Linked DNA regions of Mus musculus. The protein of the gene in region 3 interacts with the protein of the main gene of each other region in a biochemical or structural test. Links are inferred from orthologs where the notes say so. Each region holds a gene or a part of one and is shown on either strand. Other genes may lie near its edges.

Region 1 (2,925 bases), on a different chromosome or scaffold from region 3:
GTTTCATGAGGTCCCATTTATTGTTTTTTCCCCCCCTTTGGTTTTATAAAACAGGGTTTCTCTGTGTAGCCCTGGCTGACCTGGAACTCACTCTGTAGACCAGGCTGGACTCGAACTCAGAGATCTGCCTGCCTCTGCTGGGATTAAAGGCATGTGCCACCACGCCCAGCTGAGGTCCCATTTATTGTTGATTTCAGTGCCTGCTCTATTGATGTTCTGTTCAGGATGTTGTCTCCCGAGCCAATGTGTATCTGACTTTATGTTAGGTCTTTAATCCGCTTAGACTTGAGTTTTGTACTATGTGATAGGTGTGGGTCTCTTCGCATTCTTGTACACGTAGACACGCAGTTAGAGCAGCACCATTTGATCTCTGAGTGTGTCTTTGTTGAATGGGTATTTTTTGTTTCTTGGTTTCTGTTATTTGTGGCCTGTGTTGAGCTGCGAGGGGTGGGGGTGTAGTGTCTCCACCTGAGTTCAGGGCTCTGATCCAGCAAAGAGGCTCTGCCTGACTTGGCCTAAGACACAGTGAAAAGGAAAGGAGGAGAGGGATTGGGGAGAGTCAGTGTGATGACACAGTGGTCATGCATGGGTGGCTTACCTGGAGTTCTGGCAGCTGAAGTGGCTTCTGGTCCTAAAGAATAATTAAAAAAAAAAAAAATGACATTTACGGGGCAGGAGAGATGGCTTAGAGGTTAAGAGCACTGACTGCTCTACCTGAGGTCTTGAGTTCAAATCCCAGCAACCACATGGTGGCTCACAACCATCTTCTGGTATGTCTGAGGAGAGCAACAGTGCACTCACATCAATCAATCAATCCTTTTTTTTAAAGACATGTACTGTGTGTATATTTATGCGCCGTGTCCTGTAAGTGGTATAAAGTATAAAGCACTTTGTGGGGAGATCTCCTCCTGTCCTCTTCATCTCCGTGATCAAACTCAGGTCATCCGCACCTTTACCTGCTGGGACATCTCACTGGCCCTAAAACCAAAGTTGTATAATCCATTTTCCATAATAGGTCATATTTGTATTCATATTTGTATGAGAAATATTTTAAGGGAGACTGATGTCTTAAAGCCTGTGCTGTTGGACAGTGGGGACTGACTTTAACAGTGAACCTTCTCTCCTTCTCAGGACTATCCTGTTAAGTGTGATCTCACTGCTTAATGAGCCCAACACCTTTTCTCCAGCCAATGTGGATGCTTCAGTCATGTTCAGGAAATGGAGGGACAGCAAAGGAAAAGACAAGGAATATGCTGAGATCATTAGGTAAGGCAGACCATGTACACTCTGGAACTAAAGGATTCAAGTCAGACTTCAATAATCGGTTTACTTTAAAACAGTTTCTCAATTATATTTACGGAGTAACCTAATGAATTTAGCTATTGCAAGAGAACCCCAACAGAAACAAGACACAGTAAAAAATTCACTGGACAGGATAGCAGACCTTCTCTTCTGGGTTTGTTTTGGTTGTCGTGTGTGTGTGTGTGTGTGTGTGTGTGTGTGTGTGTGTGTGTGTGTGTGTGTGTGTGTGGTAGTGGGGGGGGGTGCAGTTTAAACCAGGCTAGCCTTGAACACAGAGATCGAGCCTCTGCCTCCCAGGTCCTAGGATTACAGAGCACATCCCTGTGCCCTGCTTGGTTGTAGTGGTCAGCCGCTGAGCTGAATGAATCAGATGAAGGAGTAAAGGAATAGTTAATGTAAACTATGGAGACTTGTGTTATAGAAGCTACAAGAACATCACTGTGTAAGGCCTGGCAACAAACTGAAGCTTCAGGAAAGTGGTGTTCTTATGTTTTCAGTTTCTCCAATCTCAATGGCTTTGGGTTTTGTACTTTGGCAAGAAAGTTTTACACTTACACAGGCGACATTTTGTTGCAGAGCTGTTACCTGCCAAGCCGGCACAGGATAATGGAAAAGCCTGAGGAAGACAGGGCACATTGTGATGGGAGCCAGGCAGTAGTAGGTGTGAGTAGGATTGCAGGCAGGGTGTGGCTCTGCTGCAAGCTCCTGCCTGGCATTCTGCCCCTACCACCTCAAAAACAATGACATTTGGTGCTCTGGGGGAACCTAGCAGATGACAGGCACTAAAAAGATGCTGGGCCCATAGCTCAGCTGCACAGTGTGTGCTTCCCAGCACCCCTGCAAACCTGAACCTGCACTTAGAAAACAGACCTCACATATAAAACCTCTGTAATCCTTCAACCCTTAGCAAGAGATGGGAGGCAAAAGGCAGAACTTTCAAATGCTTTTGAGCTAGTTAACCTGATTTCTGCAGCAGCGAACAAGAGAGATCTTACCTCAAACAAGGCTGAAGTATTAGGACAAAGCCCCTCCATGACAGGAAGGTATGTGATGAGAGCCGTGGTGTGATGTGGGATATCTGTTCTGTATGGAGTGTGAACCGTGAGTCACAGGGAATCTGATGATGCTCAGTTATAAGACTGTCTTCAAAACAGCGCCTTAACCCAAGTGTGATGGCTTTCCTAATAATCCCAGCACTGAGGAAACGAAGGTGGAGCAGTGTGGGTAGTGTGAGACCCTCTCAAAACAGACCTATAAACCTTTCCTGTGTTGTCCTGTGCAGGAAACAGGTCTCAGCCACTAAAGCTGAGGCGGAGAAGGATGGAGTGAAGGTCCCCACAACCCTGGCAGAATACTGCATCAAAACTAAAGTGCCTTCCAATGACAACAGCTCAGATTTGCTTTATGACGACTTGTATGACGACGACATTGATGATGAAGATGAAGAGGAAGAAGATGCCGACTGTTATGATGATGATGATTCTGGAAATGAGGAGTCGTGACATGTTCCTTCAGTGCCCCTGTACTGCCCTGACGTCTCAGGCCAAAGGGAGGGAGCAAGTGGGGATCTACAGTGGCCACTCAGCAAAAACTTACTCCCGGGGCGGGGAAGCAAACAGCCCC
Region 2 (3,500 bases), on a different chromosome or scaffold from region 3:
GTAGGCCAGAGCCAAGTACACTTGTTTAAACTCTGATATATATAGTACATGGTGGAAATGACCACGTTCTGCTAAGTGTGGAAGAGATTCTCTCAACATGATTCTTCCTGATGCTCATCAATGTTTCTACTGCAGTTGGGTGATTTTCAGGAGCACGGTAAAGCTCAGGCTTTGCTGTCCATGTAGACAAATGGCCTTGGCTTTTCGTAGGATATTATTGTTTGGTTTGTGTTTGAGTGGAAACCACGAAGGAGTTTTAGGCCCATCAGACTCTACTATTATCTCAACCATTTACTTAGTTATAGGGTAAGGTGCTTAACCTGGACTGCAATCACATCACATAAAAATAAGGCTAATGGCGTGGCTCTCATTATATGTGACTGACAGTAAATATTAGAAATGATATAGTTATCCAAAGTTATGTAAGTCACTCCTTACATAATTGTCCTGAAGTTTTGTCTTTCCTAAGGGAAAACATGAATTTTACTCTTAGAGGCTACAACTTTCCAGAGAAGAAGTTACTCTTAGGGAAAGCCTTGTGGAATTGGAGGGAAATAAATCCTCTAACCTGAATAAAACCATCCCCAAAGATTCCCAAGTACTGTGTGATTTGCATGTGGGGTGGCTAATGTGAATATTTAAAAGCCTCTGTGTCTGTCTGAAGTGTCCTTTCTTATTTTGTTTGACTTCACTCATCCAACAGGGTTGCTGTTGCCAAGTTCGGTGTAGTTTGAGCTTGGTTTATTAATGGGCTCCTGCTTATGAGGTTTAGAACCGTTTAATAGTCACAGGACATGAAAGCTGTTTGAGCCGTGGGCTTTACAGTTTTCTTTTTATGTGCACAGAGCGCATGGCACCCATGATCACCGGAAATCTGGAGAATCAGACAACAACCATTGGCGAGACCATTGAAGTGACTTGCCCAGCATCTGGAAATCCTACCCCACACATTACATGGTTCAAAGACAACGAGACCCTGGTAGAAGATTCAGGTGAGTGAAACTTGTCTATTTCTCTGGTTGTAGAATTTTTCTGATGGATGCTAGGTAAGACTACCATCACTTATTGGCTTGTTTCAAAGTAGACAGAAGGCAGTATTTAGGGGACTCGAAGAAATGACTCAGTGAAATGCTTGCCGCACTAGCACAAGCACTGCATTCTCATCTCTAGAAGCCAGGTAGAAAGCTAGACTCAGCATCCTTCTGGAATCTCAGTACTAAGGGGCAGGGTGGGGGGATGGGAAGGCAAATGCCTCCTTGGAGTTCACTTGCCAGTCTAGCTGAGTCATCAAGCTACAGATTCAGAGAGAGAGAGAGAGAGAGAGAGAGAGAGAGAGAGAGAGAGAGAGCCTGTCGCCAAAGAATAAGGCAGAAAGCTATAAAGCAGCCACCTCACATTGACCTCTGGCCTCTATACACTTGCATGCCCTCCCGTGGAACACACAAATGTGGGTACAGGGTCTGGCTCATTTCAGAGTCACAAGCAGCTTGTTTGGAGTCCGGTTGAGTTTGCATGTAGATCCCATGGGAGAGCAGTCAGTAGTCAACCTTGTGCACCTCTTTAGAGTTAGGTAATGGTCTGAGATAAAGGGCAGCAACTAGTTTTTATTTTTAATGCCATGGACAAAGCATCCCATCAGAAATAAAGCAAGAATTTCCTTCTTCCTTTAGGCATTGTACTGAGAGATGGGAACCGGAACCTGACTATCCGCAGGGTGAGGAAGGAGGATGGAGGCCTCTACACCTGCCAGGCCTGCAATGTCCTTGGCTGTGCAAGAGCGGAGACGCTCTTCATAATAGAAGGTCAGTGTGATGTCATAGGCTCATCAGATGGTCTCTGGCAATTCGATCGCATTGGACATAGCTGCACATACTTTGAGTAGGATGCCTTGTGGGTGACTCATGGTGACACTGGTGGTTGTTAAGCCTCGTCTCTGAGATGTTCATTTAAGTGTCACACAAGTGTACATAGCCTGAAGGCAATTTTACACAATATTTTTCAGTGTACCTACCTTTTTTGACTGGGATCTGTCACATGAAATTAGGGGTCGGTGCTCAGAAAGTTTTAGATCTTATTCGTCTGTGAGGTCTGAGTTACGGTTTCTCCACGTGTTCTTTGTAATCTATCTTCAATGGCTCTGCGTCCTTTTAACCAGAAAGCAAAATTAGCACGCGCTTCAGTCTGTACCATATTTTCTGTCCACGTAGTCATCACTGTGAGAAAACTATTTGCCATGAGTAAGAAATGCCTTTCTGTTCCCGATTCTCACTTTGTTTGAATGGTTAACTCACAGAAATGACACTTCAATATATACCTGGGGAAAAATAGATTTGGTGTTGGGCATTGCTATTCAACTAGTGACAAGGATCAAAGGTTCAGGATTTTCCCCAGAGCAGAGACAAGATTCACTCATAAACAATAGATGATTAATAGGTGATTGCTTTTGTGATATGGACAATCCGGGGTTATAATTGAAATATGAAAGGAAACTTCGTTTCCCCTGGCTGTGCGTGTGCGAGAGAGTGTGTGTGTGTATGAGTGTGTTTTGTGTGTGTGTGTGTGTATGGGTGTGTTATGTGTGTGTGTGTGTATGATCGATATGAACCCTAACCTTTGTTTTTCAGTCAGTATTCTGTGTCAGAACATTTCATCTTCAGAAGAGCGTTCCTGGATCTTGTTTTTGTAATACACTAAGGGAACAATGTGACTCTATTGTGTGAGTGAAGGAGTGGTGTGCAAGGGGGTGACTCAGGGTGGTTAGAGAGGTAGGTTTGGCAGAATTCTAACATCTCCAAGTCTAAATGTTGGCCCCTTTCATCTGCCCAACTCACCATGTCCAGTGCTGCATCTAGAGCCACTAGCATGCTCTCAAATCTCTAAGATGGTTAGGATTCTATAAACTGCACCTGCAACTGAAGATGCCAAAGTGCATGGTAGTTCTGTCACTACCAAAGTGGTTCATGGCTTGGTGCCAAATCCAGGGAGGATGCACCCGCCAGTTCTCTCTGGTACTCTGCCTCCACCCACTAGCCATCTGCATTAGGTTATCATGCCTATGTGGGCACAGTGGCATAGATACTATGGAGACAGGAAAGGGGTGGGGGGGAGCGAGAGAGAGAGAGAGAGAGAGAGAGAGAGAGAGAGAGAGAGAGAGAGAGAGAGAGAGAGGAAGAGAGGAAGAGAGGAAGAGAGGAAGAGAGGAAGAGAGAGGAGAGGGTAGACATTGAATGCTTCTACAGAAGTTCAGCTGTCAGATGTTAATATGAGACTATTCACACATAAACTGATTGAGACCATTGAATCTTTGACCTTTCTTCTGTCTCTTACATGAGTAGGCTTTTAAGCCTTTACATACAGGTAGAACCATTACTTCTCTGGAAACATCAGAGAAACCAAATCCACTTACAGATGCACTCAGAGCTCACTCCCAACTGGTAACTCTTATTTTGCCAACTAATTAATTGCTTGTCTTCTGGCTTCTGGCTTCAAGCCTCCCAGCT
Region 3 (3,500 bases):
GACTCCCTTCTAGAAGTGTGCTGATGGGAGCTGTTGTTATTTGGGCCTTCGTAATTATAGGCTACTCTTCCACCTTGATGAAAAAGGATAAAGTTAGCATTAGAACTGAAGTCAACACATCCAGGAGCTTAGCTCTACCTGTAGGAAAGAATGCAGTCCTCGCCCTCTCTGGGCTTTGATGTTGGGGCAGGGGGGGTCACACATGTACAGGACAACAAGTCTCCACAGCACCCTATTATGACAGTGATCAAAAGGGTCTCGTTTGCCCTCCTAGATCTGGGATAAAAGCACACTGGAATGCAAGCGGATTCTCACGGGCCACACGGGCTCCGTCCTGTGTCTGCAGTACGATGAGAGGGTGATCATCACAGGCTCCTCAGACTCCACCGTCAGGTAGGGACTCTCTGCTGCTCCTTTGAACGCTAAGCCTCCACTTTGTGTCACGGTGATTCTTTTCTGAAACCAAAGAATAAGCTGTTAGCTTCTGGTCAGTTACTTGTCGCTCTGGAACCAACACTTGATGTGGGACCCATTGGGTAGAATCTACTTTGGCACATTTAAGAAGCTACACACAGATTTTAATTTGGAGGTACACCTGTAGAGGAACTTCCCTCTCTTTATGGGAAGCCTTACATTCCTTATGAAGCTAGCTCAGGGGAATGGCAGGAAGGGACTGAAGCCTGTCTTTCAGGTGATTGTAACTGCAGTGCAGGTATGCAGGCGCTCTTTCAAGTGGATACAGGTGAGCAAGACTCGCTCCTTGCCAGCCCTCCCCTGCCATCCCCACAGTGTTTAATTGCAAGCTTTACTCAAGGAGGGAGCCCTCAATTTCCAGAGGCTCTGGTGATTTGATGACACAGCCATTATGCTGCTGGAGTCCAGTGTAGCTTGAGTTCAGGGTACCAGCAGCACTGCTGGAAACCTGCTAGGAATTTCACCTTAAGCTAAAGGATTTAGCCAAAGTAATACATCAAAAGTAACGTTTAAAAAAACAAGCGTAGACTAAACGGCAGTTGTCTGCATTGTCAGTTCTCTGCGAACAGCAAAGCCTGTTCCTCTCACTTGCAGGCACAGCAGAGCCCACCCTGGCAGGTGTTGGCAGTCGACTCTTCTCCTGGCTTGGAGGCCACAGGAGCTGCAGCACTGTAGAGGCTTAGGTCGTTTATAGAATAGGGGAGATGATGTCTGTTGTTGTCTTGGCAGTTTAGGGATTGAACCCAAATCGTCTAAATAGCCTTCTACCTCTTAGCAACACTACAGCACAAAAAAATAACTTTCCAAAAGGAGGGTAAGCTGCAAAGGAGAAACAAAGTGCTTTTAAACATAAAGTCAATATGCAAATAGAGAGTAATGTAGGTAATTCTATCTCGGCAGAGTTCTCCAGCTCGCCAAGGGTCTCCACTGCCATGAAGCATGGGCTTAGGGTGAGAAGGAAGGCTCATCTTGACCAACTTGCCCCTGAAAAGCACAAAACTGGAGCCTTTAACTTAGAGTCTGTGTAGGAAGAAAAGCTAATGTTTAGGACAGTGAAAGTCAAGTCCGCATTGCTAAGTCTGTGTGAAACATCTTGGCCCAGAGTGCAGTGACTGGGACAGATACTACTGCTGTTCTTCATGAGATTCCTAGCTTATATGTGTCTTTTTTATTGAATGTCAGTGTTAAAATAATAACCCAAAAATTTGGGCCAAATTATAAGGTGACAGTGACTACCTATGTCCTCCTCTCTGGGCACTATACAAGAAGCACCCACTAAACCTGCCTTTCCTGTCTGTACACATGAACCATGGTGTTTCCTCATGGTTCCTGTGTACCCTGCCTGGGGCATGCAGAACAAGAGCACTTGCCATGAAAGCAGGAGGTGAGCCAAGCATGATGGTGCACACCCTTAGTCCCAGCACTGGAAGGCAGGGGCAGGCGGATCTCTGTGAATTCAAGGACATCCTGGTCTACAGAGTGAGTTCCAGGACAGCCAGGACTACACAGAAACCCCCGTCTCCAAAAGAAAAAGAAAGCAGGGGTGACATGCATTGATTGATTGATTGATTGATTGATTATCCCATTGGTGGTCAAGAATAGGCCGTGCGTTGTACTAAGTACCATCTGATTCCTGGGTGTCCTTTTCAGAGTGTGGGATGTAAATGCAGGTGAGATGCTAAACACATTGATTCACCACTGTGAAGCCGTTCTGCACCTGCGCTTCAATAATGGCATGATGGTGACCTGTTCCAAAGACCGTTCCATCGCTGTGTGGGATATGGCTTCCCCAACTGACATCACCCTCAGGAGGGTGCTGGTGGGACACCGAGCTGCGGTCAATGTTGTAGACTTTGATGACAAGTACATCGTTTCTGCCTCTGGAGATAGAACCATAAAGGTAACAGGTCACTTTTCAGTAAGTTCACAAGCTGCAGTAGGAGTTTGTGTAAAAGCGTGATTGAGGGCAACTGTATACACAAGCCTTGTTGTAGGATACTGTAATAATTAAATTCAATTTTTATTTCTATAAACAATGGTTATGGGCTGGAGGTGTAGCTTAATGACGGCACTTACCTGGTGTGCCCAAGAGCCAGATTGGAAAGATAACAGTGCCACTGATGATGGCAGTGATGGCATGCATGGCGAAAGCCAAGCCAAAGTTAAGTTCAAGGACACATCCGTACTGGAGCTGGGGAAACGGCCAGTGTGAACAGGCCTTGCCGCATATGCGTGAGAACCGCCATGGGAAAGCCAGATGTGTCACCATGAGGTAGTGATCTCATTGCTCAGAAGGGAGCGATGCCAAACCCTGTGGTCGCTGGCCAGTCGTTCTAGCCAGATAGTAAGTTTTGTATTCAAAGTCCCTGTCTAGGAGAATGAGGTAGAGGGGTTGTCAAGGACGCCAAGGTCCTGAGTTGAGTTGTTAGCATGACGATAGTGGCCCAAACCATCTGGACCTCTAGCTCCAGAGGCCCCAATTTCCGGCCTCTGGATTCTGGCTCACATGTGGTACACACAAACTCAAGCAGTTACATATACACATAAAAAATAAGGTGGAAGGAACTAAGGCGGACACTAAGTATGCAGACTCAGGAAAGGAGGCTAATTCATAGAGCAAATCATTGGGCAGTCTCATGTGACAGCAGCCGGCTTCCCATTCGTCCTGTGTCACTCTGGCTCTTGCTTTCCATTGCTGTTTCTTTGAGGCATTGGCCTCCTCTGATGAGTCTCTTCTATCGCCCGCTTCCTGTTTTTACTAGTAGAAGTACCCGATCTACTGCTCAGCTGTCGCTTTTGTGTCTCAGGTGTGGAACACAAGTACCTGTGAATTCGTAAGGACCCTAAATGGGCACAAGCGTGGCATCGCCTGTTTGCAGTACAGAGACAGGCTGGTGGTGAGCGGCTCCTCTGACAACACCATCAGGTGAGCAGCTGCCTTCCCAGAGCACATCCCCACCACCTCCTCCACCCTTTGTGCACAGAGCTCATGGTTCTTACCTGTCTCCTTTCCGTAGCTAGGACAG
Region 4 (4,288 bases), on a different chromosome or scaffold from region 3:
GAGAGGTGGCTCAGTAGTTACAGCTGCTTGTTGTGAACTCCTGGCAACCTTGAATTTGATCCTGGGGCTTATGCCAACTGGGAGGGAGAGAACCAGCCCCTGAAATGTGCTCTTTGACCTTTTACATTGGCACACATATCTCCTGCCTCTCCCCGCCTACAGTAAGCTTTTAAAGTTTGCTTTAAAATAATTGAAACAAAAAGTGAAATTCAAATCAAATTTAAATGGTTAATATTTGCTCTGAGTTGTTTGTTTGTTTGTTTGTTTGTTTTTAAAGGCAGGGCTTTGCTAGCCTAGTACTTACTACGTAGGGCAGGCTAACCACAAACTTGTAGTTCTCCAGTCCCCACCTCCCAAGTGCTGGGGTTGCAGGTGCATACCCTCAAATTCAAATTTGGTTGTGACATCTCAGCCCTCCCAAAATGGTAAGCCAATTGTCTTTTAATTCTCCCTTCTATAAAAAGGAAACTGAGGCAAAAGAGCAAGTCAATTGTTCCAAAGTCGCAGAAGGAACACATGGCAGAAGCTGGAAGCCACAAGTGGTGGTGGCAGAGGGAAGGAAAACCTGAGTAGCCTGGACCGACATCCTCCGTCCTTCACAAACACACAGGCCCTCTGGACACATCTTACCAGAGGGGCTGTGTCAAAAGTGGTGGTGCAGAGAGAGCAGGGACACCAATTAACTCCTGCAGGCCCTTGGGGATTGCTAACTAACACAGGAAGCCCAGAAGTCAGAATCTCAGAAGCACCCCATGAAATACTCTCATCTTCATGACCACTTTACAGATGAGGAAATAGCTCAGACGAGTAAATTAATTTGTCCAAACATGGCTACCCTGGCTAGTGATCATATAGTGCGTAGCAGCACCCACCGGTGCCTGCACTAACGCCACATAATCCTCATAACAACACTACCAGGTAAAAGTTAGTGTTACTCATCTTTGTCCCAGGCTCTACACTAGCCAAGTCAAGGGCAAGGCCAGGATTCTGTCAGGTTCAAAGCCTTCCTCAAAACAGAGTCACGGTAACACTTGGCCACATGGCGGAGGAATAGAAAACCAAGCCCGAGTCCCAGGTCTGCAGATTTGTGGTGGGAAAGCCTGCGAGCGCTCAGGGGAGGCTGAAGAATGTGCATTTCAGGAGCAGTTATCGAGAAGGAGAAAGTGACTGGGGGTCTTAATGATGTTTGTAAAAGAAACAAAAAGCAAGGAATCTCACCCAAGCAAAGCCTTTTCAAACAGCAATATAGTAAAGAACAAAACAATAAATTATTAAGAAAGTCCAATTAAATCAGAAAAACTTTACGTCATCTCCATTACAAAATACTCTTGATGAAGGAAAACAGGTTTTTAATTCCCTTCAATTTTGGCCACACAGTTGAGATTTAACGAGGAACTGAAATGCGTGATTTTCCTTCTGTCACACTGGACTCCACCGTCCTGACTGCCAACAGCTACTTCCTCAAACTGAACACTGCAAAGCCAAGTGCTTTACCAGACCTCCAGGAACCTCTGTAACACTCTCCTTCCAGTCTGGAAACAGCCATCTAGAAACCGAAATAAGCCGGAAAAATCAAGCCAAGAGCTAGAGGGAGCTAGCACACTTCTTTCAGGTGGGACTGGGCTCGCGGTTCAAGTTCTGGCAGAGCCGGATTCATTTGGAGTGGCAATCTGATTTACAACCCCCAATATCAAGGCAGCTGCGGAAGCACAAGTCTTAAGCATATGCCCAAGAAAAAGGAACAGGAAGCGATGGGAATGTCAAAAGAGCCCTGGGGGTAAGTGCTTGTTCCTGGATCTGTGAGATGGGAAAGTGGTAATTCTAGGAAAAGTGCGCGGCGGTGGGCCAACTCCGGGGTCCCAAACGTGGGCACTGAACAAGGTACTTTCACGCCCCCTTGCGGACCCAAGTGACACCTGAAACCAAGTGTGCCAATCAAGGGATAGGTAAAGAACTGGGAAAGGTTTTGGAAGAGAAGCAACCCGTCAAAGCACTCGCAGATATGCTCCAGGTTTTACATAAAAGTAACCTGAAGCTCCAATGAGGGAAGCATGTCTTGCTAGAAAAAAAGGAAAGCTGAACCGAAGGCACTCATGGGTGCTGGAGCCTTCTATCTGGAAGCGCAGGGACTGGGGTCCCATCCGAAATCTCTTCTTTTTGGAGCGAGCAGACTAGACAGTCATCAGGAACACCTGGCAAGGGGGTTTGCACGCACTGAGTGGTGGCGAGTCGGAGGGACGCATGGCTGCAGCAGTCCAGCTAGGGCGCAGCCTGCACCGCGCGTTCCCGGCATCGGTCCCCGCAGCCTGGCTGAAGCTGCTAGCCTCCGGGCTGCAGTAGCCAGGCACCCGTGCAGCGCGACCCAACCATCCCACTCGCTCGCAACTGTCCCTACGCCCCGCGCGACACGCCTGCCACGAGCCAGATGGCGTGTGCGCTCCGGACCGCGGCGGGCATAGGGCAATCGAGAGCCCATCTACTGAGTGCCTTTCCTTACCGGAGCTGCTCTCCCGTAACTAGGACTTCAGCCATGCGTTCCAGCTCTCTCTGCTGCACCCCGCCGCTCCCGCCGGCGTTGCTGTCGCTGCTACCACTGCCGCCGCTGCTGCCCTCTTCCATGTTCCTGACCGCGCGGTTGCCACTCTGCCTTTGCTGTCCCGGCGGGTGCGCCTGGCGTTTGGATCAATGTGCCCTCCCCGAGGCCGCCCCGGCCATCTTTGTTCCGGGCGGTGCCGTGGCTCAGACGCGATTGGCTGGTGAGGGAATCCCTGCGGGTAAGCAGGAGAAGTCGGCGAGTCCGGGTCTGGAACTTCGGCTTGGGGGCGTGGCCTGGGCTCTCTCATGGTCGGGGGGCGGGGACAAGGAGAAAAATAAAAACATCGGGGCGGAGCTCTGAGCCCTGAGTTTTTGCAGGAGGTTGAGCCTTTCGCTCCTCTTTTATATTTCCTTTTTCACTCCCAAACTCATGCTGGGGAATGTTGCAGTTTTTCTCCATTTTCCATACTAGAGTTGTAGAGAATAAAAATGAGAACAGATTACTCAAAAACGGAGCAGTTGAGGATATTGCTGAAGGGCATTTCAGGCTACCTGATCCCTTTCCCTATAGACCATCTACTACTACCCTATGGTGGAGTCAATAAAGGATCCTGCCCTGCGGTTCAAAAAGACTAAGAACCTGGCTTCATTACTTTGGTTTCCTACCTAAATGCTCTTAATCCCTTTTTTACACTAGTTGTAGCTATCACTTGTCCACATCTGCTGCATTAAAGATGTTTTAGATAAATTGCTACCCTCTTGTGTTTCCCATATCATTCCTTTTACGTCGGGAAGGCAACTCGGAGGGGTGAGGTAACTTGTCTCAGGCAAGCAGGCAAGAGCATTCTCAGTTTTAGGTTATGTTTTTAAAACAACTCTATCTTGGCAGGCATGGCGACACACTTATGTTCCCAGAACTTCAGAAGATGATCATGAGTTTGGACCAGACTGGGATAAGAAGATACCTTGTCTCATAAAACAAACTAAAACCAAAAACAGCTTAACTGACAAAAGCAAGCAATACAATAAACCGTTAGAAGAGCAGGTTAGGGGCTGGAGAGATGGCTCAGCTGTTAAGAGCACTGACTCACTCCTCTTCCAGGTGTCCTGAGTTCAAATCCCAGTAACCACATGGTGGCTCACAACCATCTGTAATGGGATTTGATACCCTCTTCTGGTGTGTCTGAAGACAGCCACATCGACAGTGTACTCACACATATAAAATAAATAAATCTTTAAAAGAAGAAGAGGAGGAGGGGGGGGTGAGGAGGAGGAGGAGAAAGAGGAGGAGGTTAAACATATTTGAATGGCCGAGCTGGTCTACCATGTTCATTAAAAGTCATCACTGTGTCTCTTCGTTTTTAGTTTGTAAACTTCAACATAGCTTGACTGGGAAGTCATGGCTTCCGCGGCCATACACATTTGTTGAAGTATCTTTGGATTTGCCTTTTGGAAGATACAGGTACTTGTGTCTACGATAACTGTCACAATCTTCAGGAAGTGTCAGTATATAACAAAACATATGCTGCTGTGAATGTTACTTGACATTCCTGAAGACTAGGCTCTGAACCTGCTAGGGTCACAAAAGTAGAGCATTTAGTACTTTGCAAGGTCCATTCTCTGGTAAACAAAACTATTGTTTGGGGTAGAATCTTGCTGTGTAGCCCAGGATAGCATCAAACCCTTGATCCCCCTGCCTCAGTCTCCAAAGTGCTGGAATTATAAGACCTGAACACCATGCTCTGTTCTATTT
Region 5 (4,264 bases), about 790 kb from region 3:
CGGAAACTAAGACAGTTGACCCCAGAGTTTCCTTGCGGCTCCAGAAAGGCCGCTAGATGGCGATCTGGAGCTGACCGCAAGATCTGACTCCTTCCTCTTCCCCTTCCCAGCTAGGAGGTCCCTCTCTGGGAGGGTTACTGGAGTGTTGGGACTGACCCGGTTTCCTGTGTCTCAGAGATAGCCAACCTCTGGGCACAGCAAGAGCCAAGTGGCCCACTGGACTCCGTAACGGTCCCGGGCAAGCCTGGAAGAGTGCAGAGATCTGAGCCGCGCCCTGCGCTGGGTCCGTCGTCCCGCCTCGCTGGTCCCTAGCAGAACTGGAGCTGGGTGACACCCCGCGGCCAGTCCTGGGCGAGCCTTCCCCGAAAGGGGCGCGCCTGCGTTGCTCCGGGTTGGCTACAAGAGTCCTGGAGTTAAACTTTCAACCAATAAAAAAGGGCATGGGGAGTGACGCACGGGATCGTCACGGGAATTCCCCCCCTCGGGGGGCCGAAAGGGGCTTTCCCGGCTGGAGCCCTTTGGCTGGAGAGGAGCAACGACCGGTCCGGGGAAGGGCTCGGAAAGAAGTCGGAACCAGAGCCGCCACCACGGTGAGTGGCCGGGTTCAGATCCCTGAGTGTCTAGGGAATGGAGAGGGAGGGAAGGAGGACTTTAGATGACAGGCTGGGGCTGGACGCCACCTCCAGTGAGCGCGCACAGGAACAGGACACTTTGCTACACATCAGCGACACGTCTGCCTGCCCTTAGCTTGCCTGTGCACAGCCGGCCGGTGTGAGCCCCGCACACGCACTCACAGCGCACCCGTGCACCGGCGCCTGCGCACGGACATCCAGACGTGCACGGACGTGTGCCCACACTGGGCAGTACAAGGACTCACCTGTGTGGATGAACGTTCACTTGCACGTGCCATGATGCCACCACTCACCCGGCACACAAGACATTAGGGCTGAAACGCATATTCCTGCAACGGACACATGCGCGTTACACTGGCTTTGGGATTGGAGTCGCCAGGGAGGGCGGGATGCTCCCGTTTGACCGGCCACCGGGAGCAGGTGCAGCGGGAGAATCCGGGAAGCTAAGACGGAATCGCTAGAGACCGTGGAGGGGGAAACTCCTCCCCCCCACACACACCCTGAGGCCCGAATCATATTCTCTGGTCAGAGCCCCGGAGGCCCCACTGGAAGAACCCCCGCCTACGGGCCATTCGGAAAAGGGGCCTCCGACGGCAGGAATGTCCCCACAAAAGCCCCTGGGTGAATCAGCCGTGTCCTCCACGCTGGCTGAAAATCCCAAGTTTGCTCCAGGCTGCGGAGAGGGGGCGAGGCGGCTAGGCCCCGACTGAGCCCCAGGGGCTACAGAGGCTGCCCGGGAACCAGGAACCGCCTGGGCCTCCCGCCCCTCCCGCTGCGGGGGCGTGGCCCCGGCGTCATTTCCAGGCCCGCCCCCTCCGGCTCCGCCTCCCCCTGGTATTTTCGGGACTTTCCTAAGCAGCACTAACTTTCTGCCCCTTTCCCGGGCCAGCCCCGCTCCGGATCTCGACCTCCACCGGATCTTACCCGCCACGCCCGGACGGGCGGCTGGAGGAGATCGGACCCTCCCCCAGATCTGAGCCCCCCTCCCCTACCCATCCCTCTCCCCCTGCCCACCCCTATCCTGATATCTTTCACTCTTCCCCCTCCCACGCCTCTCTTCACCTTAGGCGGGCGTCCGAAACTCTGGAAAGCTGAACCGGGGCCCGAAGCCGCAAGACACAGCAGGGCCTAGCCCAGAGATATGGACAATTGCTACGATCCAGTGAGTCACACTGCCTGACCCTGAGGGCGGCGGGTGCCCTCTGTGTCTGCTTGTCAATTGGACGCTCCTCCACTCCCCTACTTCTGCACTGTCTTCAAATTGTCTTAGTCTGCCAGTCTGTGCTGTCTGCAAACCCTGCCCAGAAATGAGCTTCCTCATAGCTTGAGGAGGAGTCCAGGGAGTGACTGCAGAGGGCTTGGGAGGGGGTGGTTGGGGGGACCCTTGATTCAGCTGCCACCTTCTCTGTCTATAACGCAGGGCCTGGATGGCATCCCCGAATATGATGATTTTGAATTCAGCCCCTCCATCGTGGAGCCTAAGGATCCAGCCCCTGAGACAGGTCAGTAAGTCTTTGGCCTCGCAGTATCTCAGAACCTAGAGGAGAGTGAGCATGTCCCCTGGAGGCCCCACTGAGGGATGGTCTCAGAGATCCTGGCTCAGCAAGGCCCCTCTATTTCCAGCTGATGGCCCCTATCTGGTGATTGTGGAACAGCCCAAACAGGTGAGTGAGTGACAGAGAGTGGTGGCTTCACCTTTGGGGAAAAGGTGGGGCGGGGGGGGGGAGGGTAGTTATACCTACTGATCAGATTAAATAGCTTGCTGCTGATATGTTGGGGGCTTATGAGAAGGAGGTACACTTTTGGTCACTGTGGTCAGTGATGGCTAGTGGTTGCCTTGTGGGGATGACGGGGGGGGGGGGGGGGTTGCCTCTCCTGATCACAATGTCTCTGCTATGGAACCTTCAGCGAGGCTTCAGATTTCGATATGGCTGTGAAGGCCCCTCCCATGGAGGTTTGCCAGGTGCCTCCAGTGAGAAGGGCCGGAAGACCTATCCTACTGTCAAGGTGAGCTCAGATGACACCGGAGGGTAGGGATGGTGTATGGGGCAACTACTGACTATCCTTTGCCATTCTCAGATCTGTAACTATGAGGGACCGGCCAAGATTGAGGTGGACCTGGTGACACACAGTGACCCACCTCGTGCGCATGCCCACAGTCTGGTGGGCAAGCAGTGTTCAGAGTTGGGAGTGTGCGCTGTGTCTGTAGGACCCAAGGACATGACTGCTCAGTAGGTGGCCCTGGCCCCTGGCCCCCAGTGGGATGCTCATTGCCTGCCAGCCTTAGGTCTCATCTCAGGCCACCTGTGTGACTAGCACACAAAGTGGGAAGATTTACTTTGGCCCAGGAACCTCAGAGCTCAACTATAAAGAGCAGTTTCCTTGGAGAACAGAGCCAGGATGAGCCTGACCATGGGGGGTGGAGCGTGGGGGTGGAGGTGCCTCAGGAGGAAAGAGCCTCATGGTCAAAGAGGACAAAGCCTCCTCCTTGTCCTCTCCAGATTTAATAATCTGGGTGTCCTGCATGTAACCAAGAAGAACATGATGGAGATTATGATCCAGAAACTTCAGAGGCAGCGTCTCCGCTCCAAGCCTCAGGGCCTTACAGGTATGGTAACAAAAGGTGTTCCGAGAGGTGTTCCTAGAGGAGCCGGGAAGAGCAGCCCAGAGCTCACACCACCCACATTGTCCATCCAGAGGCTGAGCGGCGGGAGCTAGAGCAGGAGGCCAAGGAGCTGAAGAAAGTCATGGATCTGAGCATTGTACGGCTGCGCTTCTCAGCTTTCCTTCGAGCTAGCGATGGCTCCTTCTCCTTGCCCCTGAAGCCTGTGATCTCCCAGCCCATCCATGACAGCAGTGAGTATTCTGCAGGGGGCCAAGCATGCATTCCCAAAAGAGCGCTTGAGATACCTTCCAGCTATGGGTCTGAACCTGGCCCTGCCACGTGTGGGGTGGTGAGTGCTCGGTAGTCAGAACATCTGAGTGTTGCTTCTGAGTGGTAAATGTGAATACTGCATTTCCTGAAGTTTGATAATGACCCCACCGAGCCTCCGATCCCATCAATGTGTCCCTAACCCATCCCCCACCTTATAGAGTCTCCAGGGGCCTCGAACCTGAAGATCTCCCGAATGGACAAGACAGCGGGTTCCGTGCGCGGTGGAGACGAAGTTTATTTGCTCTGTGATAAGGTGCAAAAAGGTGAGGCAGAAGCCCTCTGGGAGCTGGAAACGCTGGCTGTAAGGGTAATTTCGGGATCCATGCAGCGGGGCTGCAGGCTCTCCCTGTGGCTAAGCCGCACTTTTCTCTGTAGACGACATTGAGGTTCGGTTCTATGAGGATGATGAGAATGGATGGCAAGCCTTTGGGGACTTCTCTCCCACAGACGTTCATAAACAGGTACTGAGGGACTAGGGCCTGTCCTGGAGACAGAACTACGAAGAAACCTTACTGACACCATGTTGCTCTCCCATCCTCCACCCCAGTATGCCATTGTGTTCCGGACACCGCCCTATCACAAGATGAAGATCGAGAGGCCTGTAACGGTGTTCCTGCAGCTGAAACGCAAGCGTGGGGGCGATGTCTCGGACTCCAAACAGTTCACATATTACCCTCTGGTGGAAGGTGAGTCGGGC
Region 6 (2,371 bases), on a different chromosome or scaffold from region 3:
AACTCAGGTTGTCAGGCTTGGTGGCAGGTGTTATCGCTGATGAATCTTTTCACCAGCTCCAGGTGTGTCATATACCATTATAATGCATCAAGAGTTATCGCCCACAATGGGTTGGCCCCTCCCACTCCAATCACTGATTGGGAAACAGGTTTGCACCTAGCAGTGGTGGCCCATGCCTTTAATCCCAGCACTTGGGAGGCGCAGGCAGGTGGATTTCTGAGTTCGAGGCCAGCCTGGTCTACAGAGTGAGTTCCAGGACAGCCAGGGCTCCACAGAGAAACCCTGTCTCGAGGAACAAAAAAATAAATAAATAAATAAATAAATAGAAACAGGTTTGCCTGCAGCCTGACCTTGTAGAGGCATTTTCTCAATTGAGGCTCCTAGTTTGTGATGACTCTATAGTTTGTTTCAAATTGACATAAAACTAGCCAGCACAATGTTTGAGTTTGTATTTGGCTTCTTAGACTCTTTCCATAGAATTAATGCAGTAGGTAAATTAAAGTCTTGCTTCCTTCTTATTTTTGTAGAGAACTCAAGAAAGCCCAAATGGCAGCCAAAGTTGCAGCTGAGGAACGGGCACTCTTCACAGATCGGATGGCCACTAGATCCACCACCCAGAGTAATAGAACTTCTCGACTTATTGGAAAGAAAATGAACCGCTCTGTCAGCCTTACTATATACTGAACTGCTCACATTCCCCAGCCCTTCCCCACTCAAAGGAAAAAACTGTGACAAGAGGAAGCTAGGTTGGAATCACTGCTAGAGCCCACTTCGTGATTACTTGCCCATTGGTATCAGTAGTTTTCCTAAAACGTAACGCCTTCTGTGACTTTGAGAATTACAGTTGAGAGCTGTATTCTGACTTGGCTCTGTCAGGCTTTTGTCTCATCTCCCGTCTGTTTCATGTAGGATGTGGGTCACTGTTGGATGTTCCAGCCCCCTTTGCGGGGTGCGCCACTGTGGTGGTGTGCTGCTTCTCATTCACTGTTGCAGTGTGGTGAAAGGTGTCTTTCCTGGTTGTGACCTCTAGAAAGGACTCAAGGGCTTTACTGCGAACATCCTCTCCCTTCAAAAAGGGAAATGCTCAGAGACTCAGTACTCCTCTGCCTCCAATGTACCTGTGTCAGTCTTGCGTTTCTTTTTTCTATGTGAATTACACTTGTATATCCAACTGGGAGCACTTTAGGCATCGTGTGCGCCATGGGATGGTCATTCTGTGGAGGCCTTGCCTTGTGAATTTGCTGCTATTTTAGTTTCCTCTTGCTGTAAAACTAGCATTAAACAATCATTGTTGTTAATAGGCTTTCTTTCAGAACAATTATGTGAAATATATAGCTGCTCTTCATGAAAAGCAGCTTCGCATCTTTTTCTTTGGACTTTGAAGCTACTGCATTGAAAAAGTGCACCTACCCCTCCCTGTTTGAATGCTGTATTAATGTAGTATAATTATTACTGGTTTTGTAAATTTTTCTTATAATGTCCCCTGTCTTTAAAACATGTTTCCTTCCTCCTGTCAAGTCTTGTACTTGGTTGTATGGTTAGCCTATTTTTAAATGTTTTGCCCAGTTTCTCTTCAATATTTGTGTATATAAACTGATCTTGGTAATACTGTACATAGCTGTTTAAAAATACCAGAATGACTTCTGACTATTCCAAGTTTTCCACAAAATACATTTTACCTGTGAATAGCCATTTGACTAACAATATTTGGCTAGTAGATGCTGCCCTCCAAAAGGAGGGAAATGTCTCACTTGTTTTCCTATTAACTTTGGTCTGAAACACATTTGCACTTGTCTGTTTGACTTGTGTCTTATTAACATTGTCTGGTGTATTAAAAGTCATTCCGTGCTTACCTTAATTGTCTAAATCTTCACGGTGCCTGTTTTCTACTTTATACTCCTCACTGCTCATTACAGAATGTGGATAAATAGATATAACTTGCTAAGAGCAGAGTGCACTTCCTCGTTGTTGCTGGCTCTTTGAAACAGGCTCTCACCTTATAGTCCAGGGTGGCCTGAAACTTAGCTGCCTCCCTTGCCACCCTAGTGCTAGACTTAGAACTCCAGTACCTATCGTGATGGAACTAAAGATGTGCTTTCGTCCATGCTAGGAAAGTTTTGTTATTACCAATATAAATAATACATCTAAGCATATCACATGTTAATACACGTGACACTGGAAATGAGGTACAATTTTAAAGGTTCAGCTGACGTGGATAAAATATGCAACTCCTAGCTTTCTAAACTAGTCTGAACCACAGAAAAGCTTATAGTGTTAAGAGACTGGCTTGTGTGTACATTTACACGCAAGACAACCCAGGGCCTTGCCCTTGTCAAGCACTCCTCTAAACATCCAACCCAACATACTTTTA
Region 7 (3,500 bases), on a different chromosome or scaffold from region 3:
AAGATGCTCTGGGTGTACCCTCTTAGCTAGAGGTGTAGCAGTGGGTAGTGGGCAGGAGGTAGTTTAAGTGGCAGAGAAAGAAGGTCTCAACCAAATAGCACTGAGAGGCAGTCTCTTCCCTGACCCTCCATCTGCCATGCTTTCCAGAAGGCCCGTGTCTTTCGCTCAAAGTCGCTGTGTCATGAGATTGAGAACATCCTGGATAGTGACCACCGTGGACTGATCGGAGATTACTCTAAGGTAGCGTTCTAGGACCGCAGGAGGCTTCTGTTTCATCTGCTCTGGACCCCTAGTGCAGGAGCTATCTGTCCCAGAGGTCCCCTCTTCCCTCTTGTATCTTTCCATTCTTGTTCCTATGCAGACTCTTCCCTCTGGCTTCCTTTCTGATGCCACCTCAAATCTGTCCAGGCAAAACATTTCCAAATGAATCTCCGGTATGCAGTCTCCTGCCTCAGCCCTGGCTTTCAAACCCAAGAGCAGGAAGCAAGAAAGTCCAGGGCTTTTCCTTCCTCTTTCACCTGCAGAAGGTTCTTTCCCTGGGTATGGGCCCCCAGAGGTTCCACTCAGAGCTGAAGCTGGAGGTCAAAGCAGGTGCTGCCTCTGTCCTTCCAACCTTCGCCCCTCGCCATGTTTCCTTTCCCTGACTCTGACTCATGCTCCCCTTCAGGCCTTCCTCCTGCAGACCGTGGATGGCAAACACCAAGACCTTAAGTACATCTCACCAGAAACTGTAAGCAGGGTTGAGCCACTCTCCAGGTGCATTGGGGACCACCTTTTCTGGCTCTTGTCTTCCCTTGGGGTTGGGCTGCATGCACAGACCATCAGAAAAGAGAGGGAAAACCTTGGCTACCAGCCTCACCTGCTGGCACCAACTCTAATGGCCTCCTACAGATGGTGGCCCTGTTAACAGGCAAGTTCAGCAACATCGTGGAGAAATTTGTCATTGTGGACTGCAGATACCCCTATGAGTATGAAGGCGGGCATATCAAGGTGAGACAGATGCTGGTAAGGCCAGACCCTCCATTCAGACTCCTTGCCAAGAAGATGAATAGTAACCTTCCATGGTGAATTTCCCATGGGGAGGATTCTGCCCAGCAAGAGGTGGGGTTACTTACCTGGGAACCGAACAAGAAGGGGCGTGGTGCAGGCTACGGCTTGACCCCCAGATCCTCTGACAGAATGCTGTGAACCTGCCCCTGGAACGGGATGCTGAGACCTTTCTGCTGCAGCGTCCCATCATGCCTTGTAGCCTGGACAAGAGAATCATCCTCATTTTCCACTGTGAATTCTCGTCTGAGCGTGGACCACGAATGTGAGTCCTAGCTCTGTCCCGCCCTTGTGGTCAGTGGTCAGCCGGCGCCCACCCTAGGCTATCTTTGCCTGGTGCTGAGTGCTAGAGCATCTTGTTGCATATGATAGTTTGGAGCTGAGCTTAACTCTCCTGCTGTAGACAACACATCTTACAATGGTCTTCTTTCTGTTCACATCATCAGACCATCTTTTAGCCATGGCTGCACCTCCACAAAATTGGTGCCCAGTCTAGTAGCATCCTTAAAATCTGAGGACACTGTTTAAGCTACACTCTCGGTGACACTCAAGCACTTGGTATCCTGTTCCCGTGCTGGCGACCACTGGGGTCCATTGCCCTCCTTCAGCAGTCTTTCCTCTGTCTCTGCATTCATGATCTTTTCTGGTTATTCCTCTGCCTCCTGGTCCAGGGTGGCCACCAGCTCCGCCTGGCAGCTGTTAGCATCTGTCTCAGTGGACCGGAATCTCTTTCCCATTCCCTGTACAGGGCCCTCATCCCTCCTGCACTCCCCTCTGCTCGGGGGTTCCAGCTTTCTCATCTGGCTCTTGCTGGGCAATGGACCACTTTTCCACCCTTCTGTTCCTCCCTTCCTGTTCTCCCTTGAGTCCTTACCACATCTGATCCAGGAGCCTGGAGTATGTGTGGTTTTTTTCCTATGTTGCTGTACTAGACTGAACTAGATCTTTCACATATATTAGGTAACCCTCTACCAGTAAGGGTTATCCCCAGTCCCTCTCACTACATTTTATTATTTGTTAGTTTGTTTTTTATTATGGTATGCATGTGGAAGCCAGAGGATGACTTTAAAGAATCAATTCTCTTCTGCCACGTTTACAGGAGTTTCGGGGATTGAGCCCAGGTTGCCAGGGCTATTCAGCAAGTGCCTTTACCTGCTGACCCATCTCACTGCTCCCTACCCCACTTTTAAAGAAGTTTATTTTGACCCAGGCTGTGGTGGTATTGATGCACACCTTTAATCTCAACACTTGGGAGGCAGATTTCTGTGTTCAAGGCCAGCCTGGTCTACAGAGCAAATTTCAGGGCTACACAGAGAAACCCTATCTTGAAAAAAAAAAAGTCTATATGAAAACACTTTGCCTATATGTATGTGTGTACCCCATATGCATGCTTGGTGCCTACAGACATCAGAAGAATGTATTGGATCTCCTAGAGCTGGTGTCGTATATGATTGTGAGCTACCATATTGGTGCTGGGAACTGACCCTAGATTCTTTGCAACAGCCACAAGTGTTCTTAACTACTGATACTTCTCTTCAGCCCTTAGCCCTTAAAAAACGTGTGTGTGTGTGTGTCCGCGCGTGTGTGTGTGTGTGTGTGTGTGTGTGTGTGTGTGTGTGTGTGTGTGTGTGTGTAGCCAGAGGAGGGCTTACACATTCTGCTGTATACTCTCCACCTAATTCCCTTGAGACAGGGATAGAGATTCTCACTTAATTTGGACTTGTGGCTGTCAGCCTAACTCTCAACAATCCTCCTGGTTTTACCCCCTCCCCCCAGTGCTGGGGTTACAGGCTTTTTATCATTCTGGGGATTTGAACTCAGGTCCTCTTGTCTACTCAGCAGGTGCTCTTATCCACTGAGCCACCTCCCACTCTTACCTTTTATTTTGAGACAGGGCTTCCTAAAATCCAAGCTGGCCTTAAGCTCTTTTTATAGCTTAGGCAGGTCTTGAACCTATAATCCCTCTGCCTCAGAATTCTTTTTTTTTTTTTTTTCTTTCTTCGAGACAGGCTTTCTCTGTATAGCCCTGGCTGTCCTGGAACTCACTCTGTAGACCAGGCTGGCCTCGAACTGAGAAATCCGCCTGCCTCTGCCTCCCAAATGCTGGGATTAAAGGCGTGCGCCACCACGCCCAGCCTGCCTCAGAATTCTACGTAGCTAGGCTTACAGGCTTGTACCACCAGACCAGGCTCTTGAGTGGACCTTGACTGTGTCAAGGACCTTGACTCTCTTGCTTCCTCTTTCCTGGGACGTGTCATTGAGTGCTGTAACAGGTTATGAAACAGCTTTCCAGAAACAGTGGCCACTCCTGGTTTACCTCTGCCTTCACCAGAGTGTCCTCTACCTAGTAGCCAGGCTTGTAGTAGGTGCATTCCTGTGCTGAGGAGTCTGTGTACTTGGGAGGCTCTTAAAGCAGTGTGTACAGGGCATGGCCTCTTCCTGACATGTGGCCT

What was found.
Region 1: the proteins of Btrc (region 3) and Ube2r2 form a complex in vitro, tested with the Homo sapiens proteins (2 studies listed by BioGRID). The link is inferred for Mus musculus from reciprocal best matches to the Homo sapiens genes BTRC and UBE2R2.
Region 2: the proteins of Btrc (region 3) and Kdr form a complex in vitro, tested with the Homo sapiens proteins (2 studies listed by BioGRID, with this or other methods). The link is inferred for Mus musculus from reciprocal best matches to the Homo sapiens genes BTRC and KDR.
Region 4: of the proteins of Btrc (region 3) and Deptor, one has a biochemical effect on the other in vitro, tested with the Homo sapiens proteins (3 studies listed by BioGRID, with this or other methods). The link is inferred for Mus musculus from reciprocal best matches to the Homo sapiens genes BTRC and DEPTOR.
Region 5: of the proteins of Btrc (region 3) and Nfkb2, one has a biochemical effect on the other in vitro, tested with the Homo sapiens proteins (2 studies listed by BioGRID, with this or other methods). The link is inferred for Mus musculus from reciprocal best matches to the Homo sapiens genes BTRC and NFKB2.
Region 6: of the proteins of Btrc (region 3) and Wee1, one has a biochemical effect on the other in vitro, tested with the Homo sapiens proteins (2 studies listed by BioGRID, with this or other methods). The link is inferred for Mus musculus from reciprocal best matches to the Homo sapiens genes BTRC and WEE1.
Region 7: the proteins of Btrc (region 3) and Cdc25b form a complex in vitro, tested with the Homo sapiens proteins (2 studies listed by BioGRID, with this or other methods). The link is inferred for Mus musculus from reciprocal best matches to the Homo sapiens genes BTRC and CDC25B.

The regions. Positions count from the first base shown.
Region 1 is NC_000070.6:41,188,021-41,190,945, forward strand, and holds part of Ube2r2 (ubiquitin-conjugating enzyme E2 R2), read left to right. Parts: intron 1-1,131; coding exon 1,132-1,266; intron 1,267-2,584; coding exon 2,585-2,804; 3' UTR 2,805-2,925. UniProt on the Homo sapiens protein: E2 ubiquitin-conjugating enzyme that accepts ubiquitin from an E1 ubiquitin-activating protein, and catalyzes its covalent attachment to other proteins by an E3 ubiquitin-protein ligase complex.
Region 2 is NC_000071.6:75,954,456-75,957,955, reverse strand, and holds part of Kdr (vascular endothelial growth factor receptor 2 isoform 1 precursor), read left to right. Parts: exon of another isoform or gene 1-591; intron 592-845; coding exon 846-992; intron 993-1,670; coding exon 1,671-1,802; intron 1,803-3,500. UniProt on the Homo sapiens protein: Tyrosine-protein kinase that acts as a cell-surface receptor for VEGFA, VEGFC and VEGFD. Plays an essential role in the regulation of angiogenesis, vascular development, vascular permeability, and embryonic hematopoiesis.
Region 3 is NC_000085.6:45,513,734-45,517,233, forward strand, and holds part of Btrc (F-box/WD repeat-containing protein 1A), read left to right. Parts: intron 1-274; coding exon 275-393; intron 394-2,124; coding exon 2,125-2,374; intron 2,375-3,281; coding exon 3,282-3,400; intron 3,401-3,500. UniProt on the Homo sapiens protein: Substrate recognition component of a SCF (SKP1-CUL1-F-box protein) E3 ubiquitin-protein ligase complex which mediates the ubiquitination and subsequent proteasomal degradation of target proteins. Recognizes and binds to phosphorylated target proteins.
Region 4 is NC_000081.6:55,110,829-55,115,116, reverse strand, and holds the start of Deptor (DEP domain-containing mTOR-interacting protein), read right to left. Parts: upstream 2,801-4,288; 5' UTR 2,620-2,800; coding exon 2,498-2,619; intron 1,778-2,497; exon of another isoform or gene 1,535-1,777; intron 1-1,534. UniProt on the Homo sapiens protein: Negative regulator of the mTORC1 and mTORC2 complexes: inhibits the protein kinase activity of MTOR, thereby inactivating both complexes. DEPTOR inhibits mTORC1 and mTORC2 to induce autophagy.
Region 5 is NC_000085.6:46,304,231-46,308,494, forward strand, and holds the start of Nfkb2 (nuclear factor NF-kappa-B p100 subunit), read left to right. Parts: upstream 1-1,464; 5' UTR 1,465-1,773; coding exon 1,774-1,794; intron 1,795-2,052; coding exon 2,053-2,134; intron 2,135-2,255; coding exon 2,256-2,296; intron 2,297-2,540; coding exon 2,541-2,639; intron 2,640-2,711; coding exon 2,712-2,863; intron 2,864-3,133; coding exon 3,134-3,240; intron 3,241-3,329; coding exon 3,330-3,488; intron 3,489-3,725; coding exon 3,726-3,830; intron 3,831-3,942; coding exon 3,943-4,028; intron 4,029-4,114; coding exon 4,115-4,253; intron 4,254-4,264. UniProt on the Homo sapiens protein: NF-kappa-B is a pleiotropic transcription factor present in almost all cell types and is the endpoint of a series of signal transduction events that are initiated by a vast array of stimuli related to many biological processes such as inflammation, immunity, differentiation, cell growth, tumorigenesis and apoptosis.
Region 6 is NC_000073.6:110,141,429-110,143,799, forward strand, and holds the end of Wee1 (wee1-like protein kinase), read left to right. Parts: intron 1-527; coding exon 528-684; 3' UTR 685-1,871; downstream 1,872-2,371. UniProt on the Homo sapiens protein: Acts as a negative regulator of entry into mitosis (G2 to M transition) by protecting the nucleus from cytoplasmically activated cyclin B1-complexed CDK1 before the onset of mitosis by mediating phosphorylation of CDK1 on 'Tyr-15'.
Region 7 is NC_000068.7:131,193,448-131,196,947, forward strand, and holds part of Cdc25b (M-phase inducer phosphatase 2), read left to right. Parts: intron 1-147; coding exon 148-240; intron 241-667; coding exon 668-730; intron 731-891; coding exon 892-990; intron 991-1,178; coding exon 1,179-1,312; intron 1,313-3,500. UniProt on the Homo sapiens protein: Tyrosine protein phosphatase which functions as a dosage-dependent inducer of mitotic progression. Directly dephosphorylates CDK1 and stimulates its kinase activity.